Linked DNA regions of Xenopus tropicalis. Each later gene encodes a partner of the first gene's protein in a complex. Links are inferred from orthologs where the notes say so. Each region holds a gene or a part of one and is shown on either strand. Other genes may lie near its edges.

Region 1 (4,255 bases):
ATTCCAGCACAGAGATTAAACTGTAAATCAGAAAGAATGCAGTACATTACATTTGTGTTTCCTGTTAGTATATAGCAATATTATACAACAAAGTGCTTGATACTGTTTGATAGATTCATTAAGTAGCTATATCAAACCACCAAATTTGTGTGTGTACATGGAAAACAGTTTGGCTGTGCTGAGTGAATGAGGAATACTTGTGAAGGATACATTTCCTATAAAAGGCTACTAGTGCTATACACATACTCTCTATAATTCTTCTCTCAAGATAATTAATTGGATCCATGCACAGTTTTATTCAGTGATAAACTGGCTTTTACATGTGACTACCGTAGGGTCTACAGCCAATGACTGGCAAGTGACATTACCGTGCATCTCAAGCACAAGACTCTGTCAAAGAAACTGAGGTTAGATAATTGATGTCATTGTAAACAGGGAGGGATGTAAAAGGAAAATATATACATATACCTGTTACTCTCTCACATTACCAAGTGACAAATATAGATCGCTAAGTGTATGATATTTAGTATGAGGACTTGGATGCAACGCCACTCACATAGCACTCTCAACACAGAATAACTTAAGTATTTCAATATGCAGCACTGGAAGCCCTATAAGTGAATTGATACCAATGGAAACAAATTTGAAATAGAAAAAACACCAGTGTCCCAACCTCATAATTCAACTTTTGCTGTGAATATTCTGAGCCCTGGTTACTGTGTCTGCTCAAATACAAAATGTTAAATACAGATGTTTCCTAGGTCAAACTAGTGATGACAGCCCAGCCAATCATTTACTTGTTACCTCTATAAGAGAAGAGCTGCACTGACTCTGTACAGTGTAGCTGGCTCAGAACTAGATTGATAGCTAAAGTTCCTCTCTCTACCATTTAAGTATGTTCTATTCATTATTAATATAATAACAATTATCATTAAGAATTAACTTTACAGGTTTAATGATGGGGAGAACATTTAACAAGATGTTTGTTTTTACTTACCTTCACAAAGTAAAATTTGCCTTTTTCAGCTCTCGATTTTTCAAAATCTAGCACAAATTTTTTCCACTGTTTGTATATATCATCCATGCCAAAAACAGATGAGCCAATTAGGCTGCAATTTCTATTCCATTCATAGTTAAGAACACTAAAAAGGTTTCGAACCCGAGAGGTAAAATGTTGAATCTGCCACATAAAGGAAAAAAAAATTTGAAATAAATCAAAAGGAATCTGTAAAATGTCAGCATTGTTAAACTGCTTAAGGTACTATGGCACTAACAAGGTACTAACATATGGAGAATTAAAGCAACTGCAATACACAATTTACTAAAGCAATTGCAATACACTAGCTTAAAGGAGAAGGAAAGGCTAAGTCACTTGGGGGTGCCAAAATGTTAGGCACCCCGAAGTGACTTAGATCGCTTACCCCGTACCCTGGGCTGGTGCCCCTGTTAGGAGAAAAAAGCACCAGCCCGGGGTACCTGTAGGAAGTGCTTCCTCCTTCCTCTTTCTTCTGCGAAATCCGTCGGCCGGCGCATGCGCAGTAGAGTGAAAAGCCGACTTTGTTGTTTAAGTTCGGCTTTTCACTCTACTGCGCATGCGCACGCAAGCGAATAGGAAGCACTCGCTTCTACCGCGGGCTGGTGCTGTTCTCTCCTAACAGGGGCACCAGCCCAGGTTAAAAGGTAAGCGATCTAAGTCACTTGGGGGTGCCTAAAATTTCGGCACCCCCAAGTGACTTAGCCTTTCCTTCTCCTTTAAAAATGCATGAGGAAAATCAAGAGGTGCTTGCAGTTCTGGAAACAGTGTTTCACTGTTAAATGCTATATAGCTTACTTGTATGCTTTAATGAGCCAAGCTAAAATAGGGATGGAAAATTGTATTACAGAGAGGAGTAAATAAACCCAAAATCATTTTTAAATATGTAAATAAGTGGAACCCTTATTATCAGAGGAAGGTCAGTTGTTCAATGAGATCAGGGAAAAAGCAGAGGTTCTGAATTGTTATTTTTGTCTGTCTACACAACTGAAGAGCCAGCTAATGAAGGCTTCCCTTTTAATATGCCCAGTTCTAGTAATATAGCTACTCATGCATGGGTCACTCGGGAGGAATTTCAAAAGGTAAACAAAGGTCCTGGACCGGATGGTATTCATCCCAAGGTATTAATAGAGCTTAGCTCTGTGATTGCCACTGTAGGTTCAGAAGGTTACTGCTTAAATTAAGGAATACTGGCCTGGAACATATTTGTAGTTGGATAAAAAAAACTGGCTAAAGTATAAATTACAAAGAGTAGTGGCATCTCCTAATTGCTCCAGTGTTGTTAGGGGTCAGTTCTCCTATATATACGCACTGGGGTTTGTTTGGAGGGGTTCAATTTGATGGACTTTTTTTCAACCCAACTTAAATATGTAACTCTATAGTGACAACACATTTATGCAGTGCTTTACAGAAGTTTATGGCATGGGAATGTCATGGGTTTGCAGACACATTGGCAACAAAACACATACACGCACAGAAGATACCTTCTTCTCTTGGTTTTCTTTGCTTTGTTGGCTACCCAAAGTACTGGATACTCTAGATATTGGACGTAGTCCATTTGTTTTTGGTATGAATCTGAGCCTGGAAACCAGTGGAATGTTTTTCCATTGTTGCATCTTTTCTAGTTCATCGCAGGACAATGGACGCAATTTCACCTTCTCTAGATGTTTTCTAAAGAGAAAAATAGGCCTAAATCTGTGCAGGACCTTGGATCTTACAAGATTAGACCTCCCATATGAAATCAGGCACTAAACATTCTCTAACAAACATGTACACTTGCCAACTGCTGCTGTGTTGTTTAAGAAGAGGTAAAAAAGTTGCTGATTTCAGTTATATTTTTACTTACAAAAACTTAAAAGGGAATCATAAATCAAAAGGTGTATAAGACTGAAAAGCATATGTAAAATAAGGCATTTTTCTAAATACATTCTAATTTCCATTTAAGAGATAATATATTCGTTTTGGCATTTACACTGTTGACGTCAATGTTTTACCTTTGTACTGGCTACCTGCCAATTCCTCACTGACTTGAAGTTGTGAAAGATATATGCTTCAGCCAATAGCGGGATCACTTTGATGGACGAATCACAGCACTTCTCACATTGTTTGGTTTGTGGTACTACTGGACATCATAATTTAGAACCATATGCCGGTAATTATTTGGCCGATAAACACTGCGCAGGGCTCTGCACGAGGTGATCCAGTAATATAATCATTCTTTGCTACTTCTCGCCAGAATGCATTTACACGATTGAAAGGCAGCACGGAGCGATTATAATAGTGGCCAGGATGAAATGATAATATTACTGGATCATCAGGTGCACAGCCCTGTAGCGTTTATCAACGATTGAAAGGCAGCACGGAGCGATTATAATAGTGGCCAGGATGAAACGATAATATTACTGGATCATCAGGTGCACAGCCCTGCAGCGTTTATCAACCAGGGATATAATGTAAAATGATGATGTCAGATATCATAGATATTGCATTTTATGATTTCAAATGCAATGCCTTTAAGACTTCATAGTTCTATATTCATAGTTTACCTTAGACCTAAATTTTGAAGTTTCTTCCAAATTCTTTTTCTGTAGAACAAAAGTCTATTCTTCTGAAACATGGTTTCCGTGACAAAAAAAAATGATTTCAGCAACTGTATGACATAGGTGTCCATTAGCCAAAAGATAAATTTGGCAAGGATTCTCTCTCGTAGCAAGTGTTCTGAAGCAGGAACAAAGTGATCACCTGCAGCATGCATAAAAAAGTGTTAATATTTTATGTAATAAAATCCACTGAAAACTGAATAGATGAAAATACGTTAAACTAATAAAAACCTCAGAAATAAAGTCACTTAAGATGGCCATACACAGGCCAATAAAAGCTGCAGATGGTCCGGGTCAGCACATTGTATGAGCCCAACAGCTGTCAATTAGACAAGTATAAAAATCCCTTGGGGCGAAAAGCACATCTGCGCTTCCATGCAGTCCTCGTGGCGATGGCCTGTATTCCATCAATGTGATCTGATATCGCCCACTTCAAGATGGACATGTCAGGGAAAGATCCGCTCCTTTGGCGACCTCACCAAATGAGCCTATGATTAAGTACCATATAGGTACAAAACGTATAAGGCTTTGTAGCATTATGTGTAACTTTTTTGTTTTTACTATAAACTTTTTTGAGCCACTATTTGACGTTCATTTGGAGTTACGGAGTGCCTGCCTTTTT
Region 2 (4,717 bases), on another chromosome or scaffold:
ATTAGTTGTATGACAAAGGACTAAAGTAAAGAAATCACACTCATTTTGCAGTGACTAGATCTGGTAAATATAAGATGTTAGAAGACACCAGTAGTTTAAAGGCCCATTAGGATAGATTTGTGAAGAATCCCTATTTTTCTCCAATAGTACAGGTATGGGACCCATTATACAGAATGCTCAGGACCTGGGGGTTCTTGGATAAGGGATCTTTCCGTAATTTGGATCTCCATACCTTAAGTGTACTAAAAGATTATTTACTGTATATACTCGAGTATAAGCCAATCCGAATATAAGCCGAGGTACCTAATTTTACCTAAGAAACCTGGAAAAACTTATTGACTCGAGTATAAGCCTAGGGTGGGAAATGCAGCAGCTACTGCTAAGTTTTTTTTTTTTTTTTTTTTTTAACAGTCAGGCAAGTTTGGGAAGGCTAAGGAAGCTGCCATACTAAGTATCAAGTACTTGCCATCCTGCTGTGTGTGCTCCCATCGCAATGCAGCATGTCTCCCAGCACAACTGACAGCAAAGCTTCTATTTGTGAGAGTGCTCAGCCAGAATGGCAGTAGCTTCTGTGGAACTACACATCCCAGGAGGCCATTAATATGTAGGCAGGAGGGGAACATGAGCCGAGCCAGGAGCAAGATAACACTTCCCAAGGGCAGTTATACCCTCACTGTAGCCACATAGTCAGGTGTGTCCCCGATATATATATATAATTTGATATGACAAATCTATCATATCAAATTATATATGAATTATTGGCATGTCTGCTCCCAGGACTCTCCCTCTACCCTGCCATGGTTATGCTTCTGTATATGATTTTTTATCTGGAAACCTGGTATCCCCCATTTTTTTTTTTTTTTTTGAAACAGCTATAAGACCCCTTAGTGCTTTCTAAAAATTCGTTTTTTTAATTAAAATAATAACACCATGTTCTAGCAACTTGTAGGGGGTCTCCTGTACTTCATATCTTCACAAGCAAATCCTTATTACATGTGGAGTGGGCGGAGCTAGAAGTGATCAAGTTACACAGGGCGACCCGCACAGCGCCGCAGTCTCTTCCGGGGCACTGAGTGAGCTAGCCGGTTGCTGGAGCTCACAGCCCCCTCTGCCTGCAGCGGCCGGAGAGGGAGGTACGGGGGGGGGGCGGGATTTGCGAGCGTACGCACAGTGGGCGTGCGTGCACAACGAATTACAAAACCATATACTCGAGTATAAGCCGAGGATGACTTTTTCAGCACATTTTTGGCAACCACTGGTACACACTGAAATGAACTGTCAGTTTAGAAGAAAAGTGAAGGAAAAAGAATACTCACTGATTTGGATGGAACGTATGAATAAGGAATGCCGCGATCCTCACACATTACAGGGATGTGACAATACACCTCAATGGGAAGGGTGTCACCAGCCATTACTACAATCCTAAAAATATTCAGAAGTCAGAACTGTACAGTAAGCTACTATTACCGTGGAGGTTAATTGATGTTTCAGAAAAGGATAAGTGTTCTTACCCTTTCTCTCCTTTGTTGATGAACTTTTGTACTTCCTTCACTCCTCTGCGGATATTCTTTTGTTTTATGGCTGAAAGGGAAAATAGAGGGATCTTTAGGATACATCCATATTGTAGTAATTCTTCCAAAAACCTCTTGAACGGAATGGCATTGTTTATGCTTCTGATTATTACAGTGTGTACATATTTCAGAAAGCGGTGAATTCAAAAACCTCTATTACTGGCAGATTAAGTAAAAGGCATATCTATCATTTAATGGACAAGTATTTATGGTCTTATTGATGAAATGTTTAAGAAAGCAAGTCCTGCATTTTTTGCAGTTGTCCCTTGCAGGCAACCAGAGAGCCCTGCTGTGAGCTCTCTAAATGCTCTAGGCCAGAGATCCCCAACCTTTAATACTCGTGAGCCACATTCAAATGGAAAAAGTGTTGGGGAGCAACACAAGCATGGAAAATGGGGGTGCAAATAAGAGCTATAATTGGCTATTTGGTAGCCCCTATGTGGACTGGTAGCCTATAGAAGGCCCTGTTTGGCTTTACACTGGGTTTTATGCAACCAAAACTTGCCCCCACGCCAGAAATTAAAAAATAAGCACCTGCTTTGAGGCCACTGGGAGCAACATCTAAGGGGTTGGAGAGCAACATATTGCTCATGAACCACTGGTTGGGGATCACTGCTCTAGGCCCTCAGATGGCAGACCTGTGGTGAATCTTAGTGACACTGGTTCACAATAAAATGGAGGGGGGGGTCAAGTGTTCACAAGGGCTCCATAACAGTGCAGGCAGTGCTTTATATGAAGCCACAGTTGGTGGCAGGGTTTATGAATGGGGAAACCTCTCAAACATCCCTTTACAGTGACAGGAAGCAATTAAGCTTTGGCTGACTTTCAGCCGTTATAGTTCTGCTTATTAGGAATTATTGCATATTTTTCATTCATGTTAGCACTAGATTTTAGAAATTATGCCTAAAGCTCACTTTTAAAAGAACTGAACATATTCCTGTGAATTGAGTGTCACTAGCTAAAAGCCTCTACTGAATCCCTGCACAGGATTTCAGCGGAAGTCGAAGTTTATAATCGCTGTACATCGCAGTGACTGTATCCACATTTGTGCGCAAGAAGCCGGACTGACTGCTATCGCTTTTAAAACACATTTCAGACAAGATGCTCCAACAACAATTCACGGGATGTGTTAAACTCTAATTACAGCCCCACCATTCGCCTGAAAGAGCCAGCGGCCATTGAAGTAAGCATGGTACCTTTCTTTACACATTTGTATAGTTTCTTGGTGAGTTTGCGGCCCGCCAGCGGCTTAGCGATGGGGTTTAGATACGCCAACAGCTCATCGTAAGACTTGCTCGGCGTTTCGGGCACTTCCTCCGATTCCTCCTTCTTTGCTTTAGTCATTTCGCTAGATCACAGACGAGCAGGCTCAACGCACAACCACGTGTAACCGCGCACACTCGCACAACTGAGCACTTCCGTGTCCGGTGGGAGGGGCATATGCAAAGCAATCTGTGACTTGCGCTCTAGTCTCTGCGTAAGGAAAACTTCCGGCCATGAATATGCGGTATTGCAGAGAATATTGACTTTACTGTGGTGTATAGTTTGTATGTATGGTTAATATCTATAGTAGAAAGGAAATAAATTAATCATTGGTTAGAGAGATAGTTTCTTTCCAAGGGAAGGACCTAAAGCCCTCTAGTGGTGAGGTAGATACAAGTACAGGAAAGAGTCCAATCTGCAATGATAACGATAAATAATACCCATAATACCGGGACCCTCGTTGCGCTTTAGGAGTAAGGTCCTAAATAACGATAAACTCCAGTCTCTTTTGATATATCCAGCTAATTCTCATCCTGAGAAACACCATAACGTTTTTGTCTGGTAAACAAAATTGCCATTAAAGGGGGTTGTTCACCTTTCTGTTAACTCTTAGTATAATGTAGAGCAGTGATCCCCAACCAGTGGTTCATGAGCAACATGTTGCTCCCTAACCCCTTGGATGTTGCTCCCAGTGGCCTCAAAGCAGGTGCTTATTTATGAGTTTATGGTTAGGAGCCAAGGTTTTGTTGCATAAAACCCAGTGTAATTGGCAAACAGAGCCTTCTGTAGGCTTCCAGTCAACATAGGGGCTATCAAATAGCCAATTATAGCTCTCATTGGCACCTCCGGGAACTTTTTTCATGCTTGTGTTGCTCTCCAAAATTTTTTCCATTTGAATGTGGCTCACGGGTATAAAAGGTTGGGGAACCCTGATGTAGAGTGTAATATTCTCAGACAATTTGCAACTAGTCTTCATTTTTATTCTTTCTAGTTTTTTAGTTTCACTTTTTGTTCAGCAGCAATTTGGTTGCTAGGGTCCAAATTATCTTAGCAACCAGGGAGCTGTTTGAATGACAAATGATAAATGAACAGGAGAGGGCCTGAATAGAAAAATGAGGAATAAAAAGTAACAATAAAAATAAAACTGGAGCCTCACAGAGCAATAGTCTTTTGGCTGCCGGGGTCAGTGACCCCAATTTGAAAGCTGCAAAGAATAAAGGCCCCCATACACGGGCCGGTCCCTTGGACCGATTCGGCAGCTAATCGGCCTGTGTGTGGGCAGAAACGAGCAGCCTGGCCAACCGATATCTGGCCTGAAATTGGCCAGATATCGATCGGCCAGGTTAGAAAATCCAGTCGGCTCGGGGACCGCATGGGCTCGTTGATGCGGTCCCCGAACCGACTGCCCCATGGCCACAAATGTAATCCGATCGTTTGTAGCCACTGTACCCTATAAACATATAAATGGGCAGGGGCAGTTTTAAAGATAATATTCATTCATAAGATTTTGTGAAATCAAACATCCCCTGCTTAGCTCTTTTACTGCTACTACCTGTCAGGCCCAATACCGGGATAAAAACTAGTCAGTTTATGCAAGAGTAATTCTCATCAAGTCTAAGGACTTTCTTACCTGTAATTGCCAGTACATGGATAGAAACTAGTCAGTTTATTAAGGACATTTTCTACCTTAGTAATAAACATAGTAGTAGTAGTAAGTTGGGTTGAAAAAAGACAAACGTCCATCACGTTCAACCATAATGCCTATATATAACCTGCCTAACTGCTAGTTGATCCAGCGGAAGGCAAAAAAACCCCATCTGAAGCCTCTTAAATTTGCCGCAGAGGTGAAAAAATTCCTTCCTGACTCCAAGATGGCAATCGGA
Region 3 (4,920 bases), on another chromosome or scaffold:
AAGCAGCATAGGGGACACTACAGACATTTGCTTTCAGCTAGAAACTGCTTTGGAGAAGAGATATATACTTGAAGAATTACAAAAGTGACTGAAGGATGTAGAAAAAAAATGATTATGATTGCAAAACTTTGCAGGAAATCAGAGCAGTCGAAAGACTTGGAAAAAAAAATATACATATAAATATATTTACCAACAACACTCTCAGGAGGACCTTGGTCATATCCTCCTCTGTTGAAGCCTCCACGTCCGCCTCCTCTTCCAAACCCACCTCTTCCACCACCCTGTCCATAACCTCCACGGCCACCTCCTCTTCCTCCAAAACCACCACCTCCTCTTCCTCCTCCTCCACCTCTGTTAAAGCCTCCTCTCCCTCGGAATGACATCCTTATTGAAAGAATAGTTGGAGCAGTGATTTTTAAGTCATCAATAAAAGTCAAATGTAATGAAACAATAAACATATGTCAGTTTTAAGCAGTCAGTAGGGTGGCTTTACAATTACCCATACCAATAACCTATAGGACACTATTAAAATTATTATGCAAATACATGTACAGGTGCTACTTGGGATATTTGAGACTTGGGGTTTTTTTGGATAAGCAGCCTGTTAAATAAAAAAAGGACTGTATTGTGCTCATCATATATTTATGCGAGTCTCGTTACCATCAATGAGAAGTGATGAACTGTTTGTTAAATTGGACACTATTGGAAATGGCATTCCCACATAATGCTGATTACTGATATTAGGTTTCTGGATAATGCATCTCATACCTATATGTCTCATGGAACTTTTTCAGCTTCAAATTGATAAGCAAAATGGGGTATTTATAAATGTTAAATAGAGATTGTGTCACTGAACTACATAAAGACAAAACTCTTCCAAACAATAAGTAACCCGAAGATCTCCATATGTGTTTGGACTACAACTCCTAGTTTTCTACCAACAGATGTCAAAATGCATGCATTACCATGCTTGACAAAGAATACTATCTTCGAGGTAGCATTTTGCTATGCAGGGGCAAGCTCATTTAATGTACTAATCCTACAGTGGTGCAGTACAGAGTTAGAATCTATATTTGCTGCATTGTGGGGGGAATATATAGTGCAAAGTTAAAAGGAAAACTATACCCCCCAGAATGAATACCTAACCAACAGATAGTTTATAATATGCTAAGTAGGCTATTAAAGAATCTTATCAGTAAATATTGCCCTTTCCCTTGATTCACCATTTAGTGATGGGCTGTGTGCTCCCTCTGAGATCACATGACCAGAAATAATGCAACTGTAACAAGAAGTAGTGTGGAAGCAAAAGACAGAACTGTCCACTGAATACATGTGTGCCTTGGCTTGTTTGTGTGCACTGTGAATCTTATGATCCCAGGAGGCAGCCCTTAATTCTTGAAATGGCAATTTTCTATTTAGGAGTACCCAATAGCACATACTACTAAAAAAGTATATTTTTATGAAAACGGTTTATTCAGATGAAGCAGGGTTTTACATATGAGCTTGTTTATGCAATATGTTTTTATAGAGACCTAATTGCTTGGGGGTATAGTTTTCCATTAGGTGAAGTCACCTAAACAGTTAAAAATCATACAGTTTAGCCATGCATTCAAGCAACCAAATAATGATTTCTTTAACGGGTAAAAGATTGTTGAATCTCAGGTAGTCTGGGCACACAGTTAAGTAGTCATGTCAAACCTCTGTGATCAGTGTAACACTATTTAAATGGAAATCGAACAGAATAATAAAAAATTTTAGTTACATTATGGGGCACATTCATCAATGTACGATTGAGTCTGAATACTAAAAATTCATATTTTTTCAAAATTTTAGAACGGTGCGTATTTTCTGCGATTTTCTTGTTAATTTGTGCAACTTTTTCATTCTTTGTGACAATTTGTACGACAAAATCATATTTGTCGCAACGAGTACGAAAGTTTTGGAATTTATTAAAGCTTTGTTATCGTAGCTTTCCTTTGGCCAGGTCGGAGCTGCAGAGTGCCATTGAGCCCTATGGGAGACTTTCCTTGGGCCGGGTTGGAGCTGCAGAGTGCCATTGAGCCCTATGGGAGACTTTCCTTGGGCCGGGTTGGAGCTGCAGAGTGCCATTGAGTCCTATGGGAGACTTTCCTTGGGCCGGGTTGGAGCTGCAGAGTGCCATTGAGTCCTATGGGAGACTTTCCTTGGGCCAGGTTGGAGCTGCAGAGTGCCATTGAGCCCTATGGGAGACTTTCCTTGGGCCAGGTTGGAGCTGCAGAGTGCCATTGAGCCCTATGGGAGACTTTCCTTGGGCCAGGTCGGAGCTGCAGAGTGCCATTGAGTCCTATGGGAGGCTTCCAAAATCATGCACAGAAGTTTAACAGTTTTTGCACTGTCACTTTGATAAATGTGCCCATATTTGTCTGCCATAAACATTTGCTTACATGAAGATGAACTGAACTGCAACTTTAAACAACCCCCTGACACACTTTGATAGTAAGCATAGTATTAGTTGAAAATCATTTCATGTGCCCATCACTTATGTATATAAGCAATGACATAACTCCATGATCCCCATACTAAATCCAGGCAATGGATGACAAAATATTATCTGACCAAATAGCACTGGAGGGCCTGGATGTATAATAATGTTAAAATCAATGTTACATGAATTAGTGACCTGTAATGATCAGGGGTGAAGCACAGAGTGGAAGAATATCGTCACAGGGAAGTATAACCTCCAGCCCTCCATGCAGGCTCAACATCTGTTTGATCCGAGCTAGAGAACAGTATTTTAAAACCCAGGATAGCAGTCGTACACCCTTACTTTTCATCTCAACGATCATTGGACTGGACAAATAAAATGAAATGCATGTTTTAAAATGACCATGACAGATCGTATCTACCCTCAATTAAGCAATGAGTTACATTTACCTTTAGTTGCGTTTGGCTTCCTGCATGCGGCACTCTGAAACTACCCAGAGTACACTCCGGCACACGTTCCCACCACTTCCGACTCAACAACACGTGGACTGCGTACATCGTACTTGGGCGCACAGCATTCACGTCATCAAACGGCGCGGCTATTAAAGGAAACGCGCTTACGTGTTTGTGTCCATTTACTGAACTGAATGAATGGAGTCAATGAGAGCTTCTGTGATTTGGTTAGGGAAAGGCAAAGCTGGACGCACCGCAGAAAATAACGCATATATTTAGCTTATTACCGAGCAGCCAGTAATTATGGTACCGCTTGGTATTGTAATTGAACTCAGTTGCTGAACTAAAATACCCCATTAAAAATGGATTTTACATCGAAAAGCAGTTGAATTAATCCCATTGGGTGTATGTAAAAAATCTTTTGGGGATGGGGCTAGCAAGTAGATAAAATAATCATGAGTAATAATTCTCCAATTATTTTTGGCAGCAAGGCACAAATCTAGAGAGTGGGAGGGTAACACACTTAAAAGAAATATGGGAAAGCTGAACTGGTTATGGATTTAACTAGCCCAATGGGAGAAAAGAAATGCTATACAGATACAGATATAATTCTGTGTGTGTTGGGGGGTGGAGGTATAGTATAACTATTTCTAAATATACAAAATTACTCGCACATAGAACAAAAGTACACAAGGTTTGGACATTGGCCCTTAATCACAGGACTTGACCAATTAATGACAATTACATTTACAAATAACTTTTAAAGCACTGAAAATCTTTAATAAATTCATTTTGGAAGGTTGCCTAGAATTATGTTTTTTTTGTATTGGGCAAAAATGTAGTTTTGGGATTGACATGTCTTTTAAAGATTCGGTTTGGCCAGGACCATGGATTCGACTGAATCCTGATGAAAAAGGTAGAATCTTGGCCAAATCCCTAACTGAATCCTGGATTCATGCATCCCTAATTTGCATTAGAGTATCAAAAAGCAGAGGATAAGTCCAGGCAATGAGAACAGGGTAGTGTCCTTTGGCCTTGGCATCTAGAGATCATTTGCAACTCTACATAAGGATGTTTCAGTGGAGGGTGCAGCTGTTTTAAAGATAGAAAAGTACCAGAAAATTGTTTGCGGGTAGAATTGACTTTGCTTTTAAAATAGCAAAGTTCCAGGGGCTATGTTTAGACGTGAGTGATTTATTTGGTAAAGGATGAAGAAGTGAGTAGAATATGGTAACCAAGCACCATGGATTGTTTTTATTATTTATAAGTGTATTATAGTATTTTTGCTTGGCCTGGGATAGGGCAGCATTGAGGCAGTCCATAAGAAATGTATAGCGGAGGGAGTCTACTGTACACTGTGCCTGCAATGAAATGTGGAAGGGGGGGGGGGCAGCACCCTGTGTATGTAAGGAAATTCTGGGGGACCCACACACTTTTCCTCTGCTGAGATGTTGGGGGCCATACTCTGTGCCTGTTGTGAAATGCTGGGGGACCCACACACTATGCCTCTGCTGAGATGTTGGGGGCCACATGCTGTGCCTGTCGTTATTGCTGGGGGAGCCACACACTGTGCCTATTGAGAAATGCCTGGGGGGCAGGGCATATACCACACACTGTGCCTATTGAGAAATGCCTGGGGGGCAGGGCATATATTATGCCTGTCGAAAAAATGCAAATGAAATGTTGGGAAGGGCAACACACTGTGCCTGTGGTAAAATGCTGGGAAGGCCAAACAATCTGCCTGTTGTCAAATTCTTTGGGGGCCACATGCTGTGCCAGTTATGAAATGCTTTGGGGGTCTCACATTGTGCCTGTCAAAAGTAGTCCCCATTGGGCAATTATGATTTGGTTTGTTTTGAGTTTTAATACCTCAATAAATGTTCCATATGCATCTTTAATTGCTCAACGGGCATCAACTTTGCTAGTTTAAATACAATTTGTGCTTTACAATGTGTTTGCTTCTGAAGTTCTATTATGTTCTTATTTAGCTAGGTTTTATGGCAT

What was found.
Region 2: tert (region 1) and nhp2 share a complex: the UniProt entries of both Homo sapiens proteins name them as parts of the telomerase holoenzyme complex. The link is inferred for Xenopus tropicalis from reciprocal best matches to the Homo sapiens genes TERT and NHP2.
Region 3: tert (region 1) and gar1 share a complex: the UniProt entries of both Homo sapiens proteins name them as parts of the telomerase holoenzyme complex. The link is inferred for Xenopus tropicalis from reciprocal best matches to the Homo sapiens genes TERT and GAR1.

Annotation. Positions count from the first base shown.
Region 1 is NC_030682.2:58,813,951-58,818,205, forward strand, and holds part of tert (telomerase reverse transcriptase), read right to left. Parts: intron 3,776-4,255; coding exon 3,580-3,775; intron 2,705-3,579; coding exon 2,518-2,704; intron 1,181-2,517; coding exon 998-1,180; intron 1-997. UniProt on the Homo sapiens protein: Telomerase is a ribonucleoprotein enzyme essential for the replication of chromosome termini in most eukaryotes. Active in progenitor and cancer cells. Inactive, or very low activity, in normal somatic cells.
Region 2 is NC_030679.2:47,806,957-47,811,673, forward strand, and holds the start of nhp2 (H/ACA ribonucleoprotein complex subunit 2-like protein), read right to left. Parts: upstream 2,975-4,717; 5' UTR 2,916-2,974; coding exon 2,768-2,915; intron 1,582-2,767; coding exon 1,512-1,581; intron 1,423-1,511; coding exon 1,317-1,422; intron 1-1,316. UniProt on the Homo sapiens protein: Required for ribosome biogenesis and telomere maintenance. Part of the H/ACA small nucleolar ribonucleoprotein (H/ACA snoRNP) complex, which catalyzes pseudouridylation of rRNA.
Region 3 is NC_030677.2:68,656,052-68,660,971, forward strand, and holds the start of gar1 (H/ACA ribonucleoprotein complex subunit 1), read right to left. Parts: upstream 2,975-4,920; 5' UTR 2,914-2,974; intron 385-2,913; 5' UTR 384-384; coding exon 191-383; intron 1-190. UniProt on the Homo sapiens protein: Required for ribosome biogenesis and telomere maintenance. Part of the H/ACA small nucleolar ribonucleoprotein (H/ACA snoRNP) complex, which catalyzes pseudouridylation of rRNA.